3 linked regions of the Drosophila melanogaster genome follow. Changing the gene in region 1 together with any one later gene gives a genetic interaction. Each region holds a gene or a part of one and is shown on either strand. Other genes may lie near its edges.

What was found. Genes that interact genetically often act in the same process or in processes that back each other up.
Region 2: of tll (region 1) and Cadps, changing one suppresses a phenotype caused by changing the other (phenotypic suppression), as found in Drosophila melanogaster (one study listed by BioGRID).
Region 3: of tll (region 1) and Doc2, changing one enhances a phenotype caused by changing the other (phenotypic enhancement), as found in Drosophila melanogaster (one study listed by BioGRID).

What each region holds. Positions count from the first base shown.
Region 1 is NT_033777.3:30,850,678-30,854,905, reverse strand, and holds tll (tailless), read right to left. Parts: upstream 2,592-4,228; 5' UTR 2,360-2,591; coding exon 2,284-2,359; intron 2,163-2,283; coding exon 880-2,162; 3' UTR 506-879; downstream 1-505.
Region 2 is NC_004353.4:1,230,023-1,234,914, reverse strand, and holds the start of Cadps (Calcium-dependent secretion activator), read right to left. Parts: upstream 3,033-4,892; 5' UTR 2,725-3,032; intron 1,787-2,724; 5' UTR 1,746-1,786; coding exon 1,405-1,745; intron 237-1,404; coding exon 116-236; intron 1-115. UniProt on the Drosophila melanogaster protein: Calcium-binding protein involved in exocytosis of vesicles filled with neurotransmitters and neuropeptides. May specifically mediate the Ca(2+)-dependent exocytosis of large dense-core vesicles (DCVs) and other dense-core vesicles.
Region 3 is NT_037436.4:9,013,215-9,021,144, reverse strand, and holds the start of Doc2 (Dorsocross2), read left to right. Parts: upstream 1-1,898; 5' UTR 1,899-2,253; coding exon 2,254-2,344; intron 2,345-3,059; coding exon 3,060-3,216; intron 3,217-6,169; coding exon 6,170-6,437; intron 6,438-6,515; coding exon 6,516-6,653; intron 6,654-7,523; coding exon 7,524-7,930.

The DNA.
Region 1 (4,228 bases):
CTGCGTCCCTCAGGTTCCCAAATTAATGCCGACTTTGGTCTGTTCATGCAGAAAAACTATGCTAATTTTCCACGGTTTCTTCTGCGATCTAATATTTCTTTGTTCCAGTATTTGCATAATTCATTTGTGATTAACTGGGTTGCCCTGTGCGGTTGCTTTGTCGTCTCTAAGGATGCGAAAAGCCTCACGAAATGGCCATAAAAAGAATGATAATTCCGTGTGTAATCTCATGATTCCATGTTTGGCATAACACTTTCAGCTGCTTACAAAAGTTGCGCAAATAACTAGGACCTACTTCTTGTTTAGTTTAGATATATTTTTTCTAAGCATAGCTTTTGAAAACCAAAAGACCTTTCAAATAATGTGAATACTACGTTTTTTCATTTAATTAATGAAATATATTTTTTCAAGTTTAAAACTTCCGATAGTCCAAATCCAAGTTCTGAAACTGTCAGTTCCATTTCTTCCAAAATATTGCATCCACCCAAAAAGACCCATTAATGTTCATTTCGAAAACCTTTAGGTTTATTTTGAATAATTATTTTTCCAAATCCTAAAGCTAATAATATGCGCTTAAAACTAAAGTGTTTAAAACTACGATTGACGTATTTAACAGGCAAAGTTGAAACTTTTGCGAATGCAATTTGAAACACATCTGGATGGTCTGAGAGACTTTAGCTAAGATTACTTCGAGTTCTGTTTAGGTAAGGTATTAAGGTGAGTGTTGTGTACGTATTTTAAGGCTCGACTCCTGGATATGAGAAATCGTTGATTTCACTGATCGAGTATTGTCCAAAGCGCTTCTTCCGAGATTATCACAGTTCCCAGCACTTGGAAGGCACTTCGAGTGCGGCGATTAGTCTAGGCTCTACATACTTTTCAGATCTTGCGCTGACTGTACATGTCGGAGATGAGGCGCACAATGGTGATGTCGCCGATGGTCTTTCGGAAGAACAGCTCCTCGATGGTGAAGCTTGAGACCTTGTGCATCAGCTGCACCACGCCCAAGAGCGTCTGGAATCGCATGGGCTGCGAGGGATGGGTCCTCTGGATGTAGTTGTGCAGCGCACTCCGGGCATCGTTGTGCATGGCCGCCACTTTTCCCGACTCCAGAAGACCCCTGGATTCAGCAGAGGCCGAGGAGTTCGGGCTGCCGCTTCCTGTCAGGATTGAGCTGTTGGCTAAATCCTCGGTAGAACTTGCCGACGGTGGTGACTTACGGAAGAGCGAAATAGCCCTCAGACACTCGTACTCGGTGCTGTCAATGTTCAGATGGCACAGTTGGTTCAGCACCTCCTGGAAGGCGTGCACCTCGCGGGTCACCATGCCCATGATCTCCCGGTTGGCATTCTCGGACTCGTAGACGAACAGCAGCTGGGCGAAATTCATGGGCATTAGGTACTGGGCCATGGCCAGGATGAAGAACTCCTTCCAGGACTCCTCCAGCAGGAGCAGCTGATCCGGCATGGGCAGTTCGGTGAAGGCCCGTACGCTCTTGATCCAGTTGACGTTCTTGAATAGGTGTTCCGCCGCGGTTTCCTTGATGTGCTCAGCTGCCATCAGCGGAGGAGTGGGGGGCAGGGCCCGAGTGGCCAGGGCATTCATGTAGGCGGCGGTGGGCGAGAAGAAACCGTGGTGTCCTTGGTGCACCGGGTGATGGGGCACTCGTGGCACGGATAAGTCCAAGACAGCGGCAGCCGATGGTGGCGGCTGGAAGGCAGCCATGTGAGCAGGATGATGACCAGCCCTCTGGGGCAGGCCAGGCATGGGCATCGGTACTCCAGGAAAGCCGGTCAAGGCAGCCGTGTTCATCAGAATTTCGGCGGGTATTTGTGGCATCTCGCCGGCGCCCATCATGGCATCCTTGTACATGGCCATGTGGCGACGCAGAGTGGAGTTCCGCGGTCCCCGCTCGTGCTGCACTGCATCCTTGTTCATTCCGACCTCAAAGCACTTCCTCAGTCGGCAAGCCCTACATTGGTTCCTGTGCGTCTTGTCCACCACACAGAGTCCCTGCTTCTGCGACTTGCACACATACTGCCGGGATCTCCGAATGCTCCTCTTGAAGAATCCGGCGCAGCCATCACAGGCGTAGATGCCGTAATGCTTGCCGGAGCTGTGATCTCTGCAGACTTTGCAGGGCACATGGTATAGAATGCGACCTGGAAATTCAAGAAGGGGGGAAAGTTGGTATAAGTAAAGGATTGTCTTAATTTTATATATTAGGAAGATTGTTTTCTTCTTTTTTCATTGCTATCTGATTTTTTTTTTTGCTATACTTACTCGATGCCGCTGGCGAAAGACGCACGCTGTTGTATTTCTGATCCATCATGTCTGGTGAACCCTCCGACGACTGCATACCGATGTGGGGCGTAATTTTGGCGATTTTTGTAGAAACGCTTGCACAAATTGAATTTCACTTGGCACTGGTGTATCTTTGAGTCGTTTTGGATTTTTGTTTTAACGGTTTGGGTGGACGGCGGTATTGCGGATTGTGTGATATATTCGATATATCCTTGGTTACTCCGATGTGGACTCGCTGAGATCACGATGGGTTGTGTTGTCTGCTGTGAGGACCGCCGGCGTTTTAATAGTCCTGCAGACCAAATCCATTCATCGAGCAGTCGATCACCCTTAGGTAGACAAACTCCGCGTTCATTGGTCGAAACTCGGGAGAGGGTTGCTTCTAATGCCCTCTCTCGCATATCCTCTCTCACTCTCCCCTGGAGAATCCTTCGATCCTGCGGCAGGCTGCCATTGCGAAAAATTCATTGAGCAAGGAACGCAGCAGCCGTCGCTCATTCTCATTCTCAATTCTTTCGGTTTTTATGGCCCTTTTCCGCAGGATTCACTACCTGCTCTCTCACGCGAACTCCTCGTCCGTCTGCTACCCTCTCTCGCAGCAGAGAATCTCTGCCCGTCCTGCGACAGTTGTTAATGAAGAGATATCCTTCCATATCCATGGCCGAGTATTTTATGGCGCTGCCATTATTGCCGCTTTGTGATTTGTGTGAAGTACCTGTGGGTTCGCTTCTAGTCCTGCGAGGCGAGTCCTTTTCGAGTGGCGATAGTAGCAGCAGGGGTTGAATACCACGCACTATTGATTGTTTTCCATTCAGTAATTAGGTTTTTATGATGCAACCATATAAATGTTTAGGGAAATGATAAATCTAAAGACTTTGATAGATATCAGATTGTACAGATTTCTTGAGCTTATCAATTTTACACAAATCTGAGTATGAATTTTGTATCGTAATTTTTAAAAAATGTACTCAACATTTTTTAATTAAGAAAGTGCATTATAATGTTGAGCATCTAAACAAATTCTTCGATTCCCCCATAAAATTAAATTTTGGAATAACTTCTGCTAACCAAATACAACGTATTTCCTATATAAAATATATGCACTGATTAAAATAAAAAACAAATATTTGCATTTCTTAGCCAGCTTTGGCAACTTTTTAGGTTCAATCTAAAAATACTTTATGAAAATTATTGCGGAGCTCAGATTGCGTTTTTAATAATAATTTTTATAAATGCTTAATAAATAAAATTATTTTAAAGTAAACCCAAAACGGAGTTGTTAAAATCAAAGGTTCATGTTACTAAAATGGGAGCTAGCCATTTGAGATAGTAGCTCCCGCGGCTGAGCCAGATTAGGCGTTGCCTTTTGAGAGCCTTTAGGATTCAAGTGGACAGTGCCTCTAATCTCGCTTGGTCCTGCCAAGTCCCGAAGGACCCACCGATTCCTCGACTTAAGCTCGCCGCTTAAGCAGATTACGGATTTTAGATCGCGGGAGTGGTACTGCCTGGAAAAGGCACGCTGGTCGGGAGGCTGCTAGATCAAGCTTTTCTGTCTTCGGGATCAGCGAATTCAAAAGAAAGACATTGTGCGAGGTCCCAGCATCGGGCGAGTACTTAATAATGTTAAGCAAGATCCTGTAAGTCTGGTGCGATTACGCACCAACGCCTAAGGCCATGTGATCCTGATCCAGGACCTCGAACGTGGGAACAGCTCTCTGCTCGAACGGACTCGAATGCAGAAGGGCGGAGATGCAAATGCAATTCATTTGATATACGATAGACACTTGAAAAGAGCAATTATATTTCGATTCGTATTACGGATGCGTAACTTGATCAATAAAATGCTTGACATGATATCAACAACAGTCGCCAGGGGTTGCAATGTCCAGGGGTTCTAATTGGACTAGTCAACCCCTGGATGATG
Region 2 (4,892 bases), on another chromosome or scaffold:
CGAATCCGGGTCCCCCACTCAACTATTCCCGATCGTCTATAAATAATACTAGTTTCGGCGAAATAATTCTAACTTTTAATTTAAATGTACCCTGGTTATATCGGTTTCTACTTACATGCGGCTCTGCAGTTTCATGTTTTTCGCTGGTTAGAGATGGCGACGGTGACAATGGCCTTGGCAATGAGTTTGCCCTTGACGATCCAACACTTTGATTTAAAGTTTCTTGCGAAATTCCACTGAACAATAAAAAAATTATTTGTTGCTTCATTTTATAATACTGTTATATTTTGCGTTAAACCATTCAAGAGAAATAATTAGGGATAAAAGTCAAGAGGCATAAGGTAAAGATGTATCACTATGAACGGCAGTCCTCGTAGTGACGAAGCGCACCAGAAGACTTCCCATGCGACTACACTATTTTATAATAATATTTATAATAATTACACAATAATTACGACAATAATTTTAAAGTCGATTTCCTCAACTATCAGATACCCGTTACTCTGGCATATCGATAGAACTAAAGGAATAAAATTAAAAAAAGTTTTAAAAATTTTCAATATTGTGGCCGTGATTGTTCTGGTCGGTTTGTACATGTTTAAAGGAGCTTGGCCAATGTGGTTTTGGTATACCGATAAAAATGTCTGTGAAATCTGCAAGTCTTATCTGACTTCTCTATCTAGGATGTCATACAGACAGACGGACATGACCAGATCGACTAGGCTATTGATCCTGATCAAGAATATATGTACTGTGTTAGGTCAGAAACGTTTCCTTCTACCTGTTAAATACTTTATAACAAACCTAGTATACTCTTTTACTCTGAGAGTAATGGGTATTACAAGAGAGGACCTCACAGTATTGGGAGGTTTGTGTGCGTAAAGATAGAAAGTGGGAAGAAACTTAATAAATGGGAAAAAGGTACGTTGAACGTGGACAAAATATTTTTGCATATCGATAGAAAGTGAAAAGAATAAAAAGAGAGGAACATTTTGAGCGAGAAAAATTTTGAAATTTCTCGATCGCACTTCCACTAGCTGAGTACAGGTATTTGATAATCTTGGAACTCGATTATACTCTTCCATGTTTTTTATTTTTGCTTAACTCCTTCAATAACATATTTTTCATCATCATTTTATTGGCTTTATCTTAAACTTTAACTATATATTGCAGGCTACCGTGCACACGGTCATTTGACTTCGAAAGTTTCTGCACTCACTTGGACAAACAAAATAACTAAATATTTCGTGCCCTTTACCCTCCCATAAGAATAAAATGTATTTTAAAATAAAAAAATAATAAAAAGTAAAAAAAAATTGGGCATTAATTAAAACACGAACACAATGTACAGAAATTGTTGTTGCAATGTGTTTGAAAATAATGCGTTGTATGAACATTACCAACCTCGGAATACCATTACTGGGAACTTCAAGATTTCCGGTATCAGCTCGGTTGCCACATATTTGCTCAATTTTGTTAGAGGTTGATCCTAAAGCTGCTACACTAATGTTCCCAACATCGTTGCGGTTACAAATAGAACTTATATTAGATTGTCTTTGATTTCCGATCAAATCTGTATTAGAGCCAGATACAGGAATGTTTGATCCTACGACGGATCCTGCAGATCCTCCAATTATAGAAACGGCACTTGTTCCTTTGGTCGTATTTGTAAGACGTCCTTTTGATGAAACGTTAGGAACAGCGTCATCTTCTCCTTCTTCCTCACTTGAACTAGGATCAATCATGGTAAAAAAATAAGCGGAACGCGATTACTTGTTTTTTAATCCTAAAAATAAAAGAATTCAAAATCATATTAAAAGACGAAATTTGTATACCCTCGTAACATTTTTAATAGTCTTGTAAATTTCTATCGATTTGCAAAACAAAATTTTTGCCACGCCAGCAACCCCCTAAAACTGCTACGCCCACACTTTTAAACGATTTTTCGAAATTTTTCATCATTTTATTGGCCTTGTAAATTTCTATCGATTTGACTTGCATTATCCATCAATGGTTCCTGTTGACGTACGTCAGTCACTTGAAATCATGGTATTTGATGACTTTCATAGCATTATGTGTAGTGTATAATGTTGCACAAATTACCCAGTTTAATTCACATTATCGATGTAGTTACCTTTTTTACTATTTTTTTTATAATGCACATCACCAGTTTTCATTGAGTTTTTTAACTGGCAGCTCTCGGCGGTTTGTGGGCGTGGCAACATTGGTCAATAAACTAGCGCTAATTCTATGTCTAGAATCTGTATACTTAATCTGGCAAATCGATAAAAATTTACAAGAGTAATAAAAATATGAAAAAATATCAAACCATTTTTGTGGGCGTTAGATTGGGCGTGGAAACATGAGTATGATATTACTATTACATTATTACATTGTTATTATTGTACTGATTAAAACAACGATAACTTTAGCTTGTTTCTTTTACTTATTGAAATTATACTTATAAATCGTTTGTTTACATTTATAATACGCTATTTGATGGGGAATTTAAAAAAAAGGTGAATGTATGCCTTATAACTTAGAACAAAAATAACCATAGTTGATGGGTTTTCAAACGAATTCTTATTTTCGCTAAGTTAAAAAAACCTTTTATTTTTATTTGTAACACACCACCATCTGAAATATGTATATATTTGTTCACCACCACCCTTAAGGGTTGAAGAATAGAGCAATTTCTTTGGGAAGGTTAATTGCTTCAAATACCTTAAATATTAGATTTATGCTTGTCGTTCGGTAATGTATGGTGCTTATAATATAGCTTTAAATTATGAACAAACTTTATCACTATTTATATGAATTCGAGTTACACGATAACAAAACTTTGAATTCATTTACTATGTGAATGACAAACGAAATTCATAGTATAATTATTGACAAAAATATAAGTTTTTTATGTATTTTCAAGGCGACATCAGGTTTATTTCACAAATTATCTACTTCTATTTATACAGTTCTCTATTTTCACATATGAATAAATGGATTTCCGTTTGAAGAATAGTTAAGTTGGAGAAGCAAAAAAAATCGATGGAACTATCGATAACTTCGATGGTGGTAACCTTAGCACTCCCGTTACAACTACTGTTTTCGACGATTTGGTTGATGATTTGCAGAAGTTTCTGATTTTCAATAATTTAAGTAAAGCAGGACTGTCTGAAACACAATTAGATTTAAATTATGCCTAAATTTTGTAGTTGAAGGGATTCTTAAAATACTTTTTATTTTGGTTAAGATGAATTTCTTAATAACTATTTGATAAACGTTTTGGAAATTATATCTACCTTAGTTTATTTAGTTCAAAGAAATGGAATATTTTTTACAGATCAATAGAAACTGTCAAGACAAATAAAAACGTGGTGGAACTCCATAGTCAACTCGTTACTTATATAAAAATTAAAACAGAAAACAGTTAAATCTTTAAAAAATTAATCTGAGTCAAAAGTTAGTTTCTGGACTATATGCATTGCATTTGACTGTTTTACTGCCCGCCATGCTTGACAAAATAGCATTCGAGTCATAAAACACTATAAACAATGAGCACAAAACATTGATACTAGGACATTAGAGACTTGCCTTGATTTAACTTATACATATTTGTTGGCAAATCGATAGAAATATTCACAACAAATAATGATTTGATAAATATTAAGTAAAGTATTTGTCCTAAAACAACAGCTCTTTCGCCCATTCGTAAAAATTAACCCTAATGACATAATGATCATTATAAGCGAATAACAACGCTTTCTTAGGGCCATGCATGAATGATCTAAACTAAAAAAATGTTATACGACCTTTTTAAAATCATAATAGTAAAATGGGAAAACAGGAATAAATATTCCCATGAATTATATATGTATGTTACAATACCACACGTGTTCTTACGATTTGACTCGCATTATATGGGCAAACGATTGCCCTGCAAATTATATATAAAGTCGATTTCCGCTCGAAAACGGTCCGGTGGACTAAGTATTGATTTATTCAATTTTCGTCACAAACTTTGATATTAGAGCTGTTGTATGCTAAGTGGTTCCTATGTTTGAGTTGCGAAACAAGTTCTAAAGAACTTTATTCTGGACCACCGAAGTCATTTTATATGGTACTCCGTTGATTATGGTTATAAAACGTGCTTCAAACGCTATTGTGAGTACATGTGAGCCAGGTGGCATGTTAAAACTGTTTTAACACGGTCACACTGTTCTTCTCTTTGTTCGGGTCGCTTTGAAAATTGTGTATTCAAATGAAATTGTACGATAAACAAATATCTGGTTTTACCTATTTGTAAAGTATACAATACAAATCATTGCAATACATCAAATATTATAGCTCTCGGTTAATGTTTAATCAAACTGTTCTGATACAGTCTTCATCGATGTGCAATATTTGTACATATATGTATGTATGTACATGGACATAAACTCAATTAAGTGTTGACAATATACTTATTAAGGTATTATTATATTTAATTAATTAAAGGTATAGCAATACAAAAATAATAAATTTAAGCACAAGTGCCGAAGTTTATAACCTCAATATATATTACTATTTATTTTGGCTGTGCCTTTCAACTGTTCGTTATGTATATGCAGATGTAAGTACATATATACAAACTATTTACACAAATAAAAAGTATTTAGAAAAAACCAAGATCGGAAAGTTAAAAAACAAAATCAATTTTGATACGATAATAGGATATTTTTTTAAAGTAGAGTGCATTGCCGACTAAAATGTATATTAAGGCACACAATCGTTATTAAACCAAATATTTCTTATTCCAGTTGCGGCAAACTAGTTTAATGAAAACTGTGTTGTTATAAAACACATTAAATAATTCTGTATCCTGGGAACACCCGAAATGTAATAAACTAATTTAT
Region 3 (7,930 bases), on another chromosome or scaffold:
TAATTATTGCAAACACTACTTGCTCAACTAGCAGTTCTTCGAGTGCATCATTTGCTACCTGTTGGCCCATTTATCCGGAACCGAACGGAAGTAAACCGAAATGCATTAGTCAGACAGCAGGCACAGGGGCAGCACCAATTAGCTGGGTGCTGACAAATTGCACAGCTATTGGCATGGTCTGAAAGGGCAGACCCTTTAGAGGCTCTACAGGATCGATGTCTAATGGTTTGACGAACGTAGTCGAGCTGAAAGACGGCAGAACGGAAAACGCAACCGGAAATGAGCGCGACCAAATGTGAAAACGCGAGGCATAAATTATGGTCAGACGGCGCATACATTCATACGTGGCCAGAACGCAATTTGGGCGAAATGGCCTGCTAATAGTAAATTAATTTCAGACGCTTATCGCCGCCAACTGTGGCTATGGCCATATCCATAGGAAAATAATGCGTGGATGTGTCAGGCCAGCAAAGTGCTGTGTAAATTAGCTCGGCTAACTACATATTTACCCATCGAGAGCCTCAGGAATTTCGCAGTAATGCTGTTCAGATAAGCCAAGCGATTGTCTTAAACTTGAAAGGAAGTGGCACTGGAGGCAAACACGAGACTAGTCGTTGGCAAAAAAAAAAAAAAGAAAACAACACATTAAAAACCGAGCACGTTTCGCCATCGTCGGCCCACATGGCGTATGCTTAACTTCAGTCAAAGTTCAGACCACCTCATTGGGCCTTAATTAGTTTCGAATTTGTTAGCAAGCAGCTCCGACACGCGTTTCCGTCGTTTGAAACAAATGTTTTGCCAAGCTCTCTAAAAGGTCAGATCCACAAACAGTGATCACCTGCATCGCCGGCAATATCTGTAGACTAGACTATAGCCTATAGATATTCGTGTACCAGCAAGTGGAGACGCCATATCGGGCCTTTGGATGCCGCCATATCAATGCCTGAATGACGCAGCGTCAAAGTCGAAATAACATATAATTACACAGAGAAAACTGCATTAAAGTGTTATTCGTTTAATTAAAAAGTAAAGATTATTGTATAATGGGCCCCAATATATTAATTAATTAAACTATTTACCAATTCTTCTCTACTGATAAACTCTAAAATGTGTATAAAAAAAAACTATTGCAACGATGACCAAGCAATTTCATCCAACATCAATCCGCCAACAGGTAAACAAGGTACTTTAAAGTAAGTGATTGGAACTTTTACTGATACTTAGATCAATATCTTATACAATACGCTGCCAAACACACCAAGAGTAAATATTTTTCAATAAAAAACCATCAAATTGCTGTTCAAACAGCATCAATAAATTCTTTTCTCTGTAGTGCGCCGGGTAAAATGTAATAAATGATCAGCAAAACGACAAACACACACGGCTTGGAGAGGCCAGACAAGAGGACCACCATGATGGTGATGGTGATGGCAGCGGCTACAAATGGGCAAAGCATAAATACACAAAAAGATGCCAAAAAGCGGAGACGGAGAAAAAACAATTTCAATCATCATGATCATAATTAAAAGGCAGCCAGCCAGCGCACACACACATAGCGAATGGACCCAGAAGCAACATGTTGCTGCTCCTCCGCTGACTGTGCAACTTCGCACTTCAGAATTAAACGCAATTAGAGCGAGCTGGCACAATGTGAAGAGAGAGAGAGAGAGAGAGTGATAGTCAGCGCTTCGTGGGCGGAGCCATGGCATCTGGAAAATCGAGAGGATTTTTCAAAATGGAGGTGCCAAACCAGAGCGGGACGGCTAGCTCCCGCACTCCGTACACTGCCACAGCCAATCGATGGTGAGCAGCAGGTAATCTCGATCAATGGCTCAAGACGGAAACGAGTCAAGCTCGTTCCATTCAGCTCGATCGAGAGATCGCTCTGCCAGCGGAACTTGCTCAGTTGAAATGCGAACTTGGCGAGCTCAAGACACGACCGTCGCCCAAAGATACAAAAAATTCTCTCAATATATTTGTGGTAAAATAATAACCCACGTACGCGACACCGGGCCTAATCAAATTAACACCCACGCACATGAGAGACTTTTGTGTGCCGTGATTTGCATAATTGACGCTAATCGGCGGCGTCTCGTGCTCGGCTAAAAAGTAAACCCGGGCTCCAAAAAAATAGACACCGCCATATGTTGTGACAGTGCTTTTTGTGTGCTGGGGAACAATTGTGCAAGTGACAAACGCCAAACAAAGAAGTTTCGGGCAAAGATTTAGTACTATTTTTGGACCCAACACATCATGATCACCATGAACGAGCTGGTGGATCTGCGCATGCAGCAGCACATAGCACACGAGATCTATCGCCAGCAGATCATGCAGCGCATACCAGGTAAACTGCTTGCCCCCTTCATATCACTCATCCGCCCCGTTACGCGTGCGGCAAAGCTGTTAGCCATCATTAGCATTAATGGTCGTAACTTTTGGCAAACTGCTTTTGTTTCTGTTACTGTCTCAGCCCACCAAAGTTGGCCAAGATCAGCGGGGTGTGTGCGAGTAGCGGTGTTTATGGCCAGCGGATCATAAAGCTGAGTAATGTGGGAAAGTGATCGCCGATCGAGAAACTTGATATCAAATGCATTTTTCTTGTTGCCGACGGTCGTTAAATTTCGGGATCAGCGTACCCCTAAAACAAAATCGTTGTTTGCCAAAGTATCGCTCCTTATTTTGTGGATACCAGATGGAGGGCATTAAGTTTGGTAATCGGGAAAGAATCGGTGTTCCTCGTTCGCCAAATAAGCGTTTTTATATAACCCCATGTTTGTTCGTTTGTTTTTATGACAAATATGTCAGTCATCATATGGATTTATGCCGTAAGATCTCTTTGGATAAGTCAGAAATGTCACACTTTAATTCAGACCCACGCTCTTAAACTAATGGCGACTATTAAGTTATTTGAATGGGTTTCATTTTAGCCAAATACCATGTTAATATGTTTACATAATTTCAATAATTCTTAATTTTCTTTGTTGAAGACTAAGTAGTTTGTTAGATTGCTTGAGCTTTTGTTAACCTATAAGCCCCCTATTGATTATTGTTCTTTTCAGATCCGTTTCCGCCGATGCTGCCAATTCCGATGCCACGGCACGTGATCATGCCACCTCGAGTCACGTTGCCCGGCGTGGAGATGACCCTGCAGAACGACGATCTATGGAAGCAGTTCCATCAAATTGGCACGGAAATGATCATCACCAAGAGTGGCAGGTAGGTTTAGAACAGAGAGAAAAGATCTTTGATGATGAAAATGATGAAAAACCAAGAGTGGGGGAATCTCGAGATATACAGACTTTAGAGATCGGGAACAAACATAGATGTAGCGATGCATTAGCACGAACATGAAAACTAATACCCCAGACGCAGGGCAAAGAATAATAAACCAGCCAACGGGCGCGGGCACTTAAAGCACCCTATAACGATCCCTAGCCCGATCCCTGGCCCGATCCCGATTCCGATCCGATTCAGTAGAGTCCAGCGAGGATGTGCTGCTGTTAAAGGCTCATTAGATGCAGGCGCCTGCAAATTGTTTACAGCGGCGTCGCGACAACGATTTTCACAGGCAAACAAGGCGGAAGGATGCACTTACGTCGGCAGGATGTGAAAATCGAAAATTGAAAATTGAAAATCGGGAAATGGAAAAGCGGTTGCAGGTTCAGCCAAAATTGATGCGCACTGGACATCGGCTATCGCACGAGGCGTAAAGCGAACAAGTTCGCCGGCACTTTGCGTGCTCAGATCGTAGATAGTACGAATCAAAGGCATAGCGCGATCGCCCGGAGCTAATTTATCGTGTATCTATGAGTATCAGATCAGATGCACGACTACTTGCACAAAGGCGACTACCTAAAAGTGTCCGGCACTTGTTCGAATGTGCGTAAAGTGGCGTCATCGTAATTTATTGTAGACCGACCAACTGGACCGATCGGGCGAGCGCCGAGCTCAGTGGGACGTCCTGTCGGTTCGTCGGCGCTCCTTTATGCCTCGCCTGGCATAAATCTTCGCGTCAAGGATACTTTGTCGTCATCTTTGTAGCTCTTAGCGTTTTTATTGTGGCGCCTGTCTGCGCAGCGAACAACCTGCGGCCCCGAAATATCTTCGCGTTCTGCATTCTATAAGATGCTCGTACATATCTGTATCTTTTGGCAGTGACAGTGACCACAGCTTGTCGACAGATACGAGCAATTTCACACTTGCCCTCAGTTCGAGCCGATCAAAAAGGGTTCCCAAACGCATTAACATAAACTTTTGGTCTCGAAATGCATTGAATGAATACACTTCGAGCCACGAACAACCCTTTTGTTTTATATATGCCATGAATTATTCATATAGTCTGCGTATTAAATACTTTTTATGCTCATCAAAAATGTTTTATGGGCATCGGTGGAGAGGTCGCGATGCAATCGATTTGAATTTTTAATGATTAGGCGCCAGAGTGCCACCGTCTGTCCAATCGCATCCCAATCCCCGTTTCATTTCCCATACGGATACGATCCCAAGTCCAAAACCTATGCCTATGCCAAGTGGCGCTCATAAAAACTAATTAGTTGCTTGTCTGGGCTCCGCTTGCCACTTGAACCGTTCCATCTTTTTGGGTGGTAAAAGCGCAGACGGCCATTAAAGTTAGATAGAACAAACCGTATCGCTTAATGTCTGATACTGGCGGCAAATGAAATGACTTTGTCACGATGCTTTTAGACTGTGTGGGCTCCTCCACTCACCAAGAGAGGCGGTAAACAGAAGCGACACGGTAACTTCGATGAGAAGCGCAAATATACCCAGAATTTTCAATTGGATTCAAACTTTTAGTTGCAGAAAGAAAAAAAGAAAATATTTTACCCTTTCTCTAATAAGAAATGTTATTCCTAGTAGACTCATTCAAAACTGGCTTACGATCTGAAGAGTTCAAAATTTATGTCGTTTGCTTCCAGTTTTATAGCTGTCAATTAATAAATAGTCTCACTCTTAATTTCCTAAATATGCTAATTCTGGGAATATCAAGCAGCTATTTATATGGAATTGTAGGGTAAACATTGGAGTGAGCTCTGGATATTTCCAGAGTACCCTTCGGGAGTCCGAGATCCGATGCTCCGTCGCATTCCTGGCTTGTGTCCCTGCACCTGCGAAGCGTCAAGCGCCAAGTCGAATGCCGTCAAGTGGTCAGCATGCTCCTTACTCGCAGTAGAAAATTCCACTGGTAATTATGCGCAGACGCGCCAAAGATATCGATCTTAACAAATCGTTTGTCCAAATCCAGACAGCGGACTCTTGCCAAAAAAATAAAGAAAAAAAAAAACAATAAACAAAAACTGAGAGCAAGCAAATTGAAAATGAAATTCTAAACCGCACAAATGTCGAAATATTTCGGTGCCGTGCTCTAATGGAATTCAACGGAGCTGAAAAGGCAGACCCGAAGCCAGAATCAAATTAAATGTTAGCAAACCGAGGCTCTGTGGATTTCAATTAATTAATCATCGGTTGAGGGAAACACGAAATCATTGCCAAAAACAAGAAACCATTCGAGGATGAGGACGCTGTTGAGGATGAGGACGAAGGGCAAACATTTTTCGGCCAGGCGCCAAGTGCCGTGACCACCTGCTGTTCCTGCGGCAGCGACTTGGAGTTGAAGGCGAGGGTCAGGGCCTCGCATCCTTGTTAGCACAGGGAAAACGGCCCCTACTCCACCGGGCAATCTCTATTTGACCAGTCCTAATTACATGGCGCATGGAAGGGAAATCTCACAATTAAATATTTGTAACGCCCACGCTGGAACCGGGAATGGGCTCCTTTTGTCGTTCTAGCATGACTATATTTGAGTTTGTTCGGTAAACAAAGGCTCTAAGGTTTTCCAGGCGTTTTCCTGGACTTCCCCCGCTCATCTGACACAGAGGAAAATGTTGTAGGAAAGCAGTATACCAACGATTTGGTAATATTTATAAGGGAAATATCTGTAAGATAACTCTCATGTCTAATATGGTATATACAAAAGGTTATGCTAGGTTTTATAACAACTTTGAAATTAGCCATTTATCAAATAGTAAAATATACCATATAATTATGATATTAAAGTCTTATTTGTATTAATAATATAATGAAAAATGATTTTGTCTTATATAATAAGAGACTGATTAAACTAATAAGATGCTTTTCCTTTCCCCTAAAGACGCATGTTCCCCTCGATGCGACTAAGTGTTTCCGGCTTGGAGGACGAGAGCAACTATTGCGTGCTCCTCGAGATGGTACCCATTGGCGACTGCCGCTACAAGTTCTCCGGCTCCCAGTGGGTTCCAGCCGGAGGAGCCGAGCCGCAAAGTCCCCAGCGGATGTACCTGCATCCGGACAGTCCGGCCACCGGTGCCCATTGGCAGGCGCAGCCCATACTGTTCAATAAGGTCAAGTTGACCAATAACACGCTGGATAACAGCGGCCATGTAAGTGCGGCCAGGGCTTTGAAGTCGTCTCCAGTTACTAATCCAAGTCCAAACCCCTTTCGCCATCCCCATTCGCAGATTGTCCTGGCCAGCATGCACAAGTATCAGCCGCGTCTGCACGTCATACGCACCGCTGATCTGGCGCAGATTCCCTGGGCCCCACAACAGGCCTTTGTGTTCGCCGAGACGGAGTTCGTGGCCGTGACAGCCTACCAGGTAAGTGGTGTGCCATCCCCATCCCTACTCCGTTTACCCTCTCAATGGGCGCCATCATTTTGGTAATGAGTCTAGCTCAATGTCTAATTAGTACTCTCAAATAAAATATATATCTTTGCCACACGATGAGAATCCCTTCTAGTTCAAAATCACCTCATGGTATCCTATCTTTGATTAATTCACATGTTATTCACAGACTTATCCAAGGTTGTCTAAAATCGCACTATTAGGTATTTAACAAAAATGTTTCGTCCAAGAGTATTCGAGTCATGTGTCCTCGAAGTTAGCCTTCCTACTTGTGTGTGCATTTTTTTTTTTGCCAATTCATTGAGCAAAGAGACTGGAAACGATCACACTAATTGGTTAATTTTGGGCAAACGAGCGGCGATCGCTCACGCCGTGGGTAGCTTGGTCAACGTCTCGAATTAGCATGGAACGCCTCCGTGGATCGTGTAGTTGGTGGGCAGGGCAGGCAGAAAGTCAGCGGGTCGGATTGTTGTTTTAGGAAGTTGGATAGCCACATCCTTGTAAATTTGAGCGCCTCGCTGTGTTTTTGTCTAGGTCTAGGCCCATTGACAGCCGACGCCAGTCTGCCTCTAATTAGCAAGATCGCCGAGAGATCGGAGATTCGGTTTGAGAAAGATCCGAAAGATCACAATGTTGTCAAGTCATCTGGAGTGGAACTGAGCACCGAGAACTGGAAACGCAGTCTGGTGTCAAGTGGCCATGTTACTTAACGCCAGCTACTGGACGCCAGTGACTTATGTGATGAGTCTTCTTCTCCTTCTCCATCTCCATCTCCCCGTTGCCCAAGATTATGCTGGCGGCAATCGTCATATTTCACGCTCGTCTTGTTGCCTTCTTCCGCAGAACGATCGCATCACCAAGCTGAAGATCGACAACAATCCGTTTGCCAAGGGCTTCCGCGAAACGGGACAATCGCGCTGCAAACGCAAGATGTCTTCATCGCCAACGGGCGAGGATCAAGATCAGTCGCCGTCACTATCCCATTCTCAGTCCCAATCCGAGTCTGACATGTCGCCAACGAAAGGAGGCGGTGAGACAGCCGGAGGAACATCGTCGATCGGCGATTCGGATGGTCCGCAAATCAAGCGCCTGAGATCAAATGGCTCAGCCTGCTCCTTATCATCATCGCTGGACGATCAGTCGGTGCCTGGCGCCAGTTCTTTGGCCCTGGGCTCTCCACCGCCCCATCTACATTCGCATTCGCATCCGCATCCCCTCCAGGCGAGGAGTGCCTCCAGCGTTTTTATGCA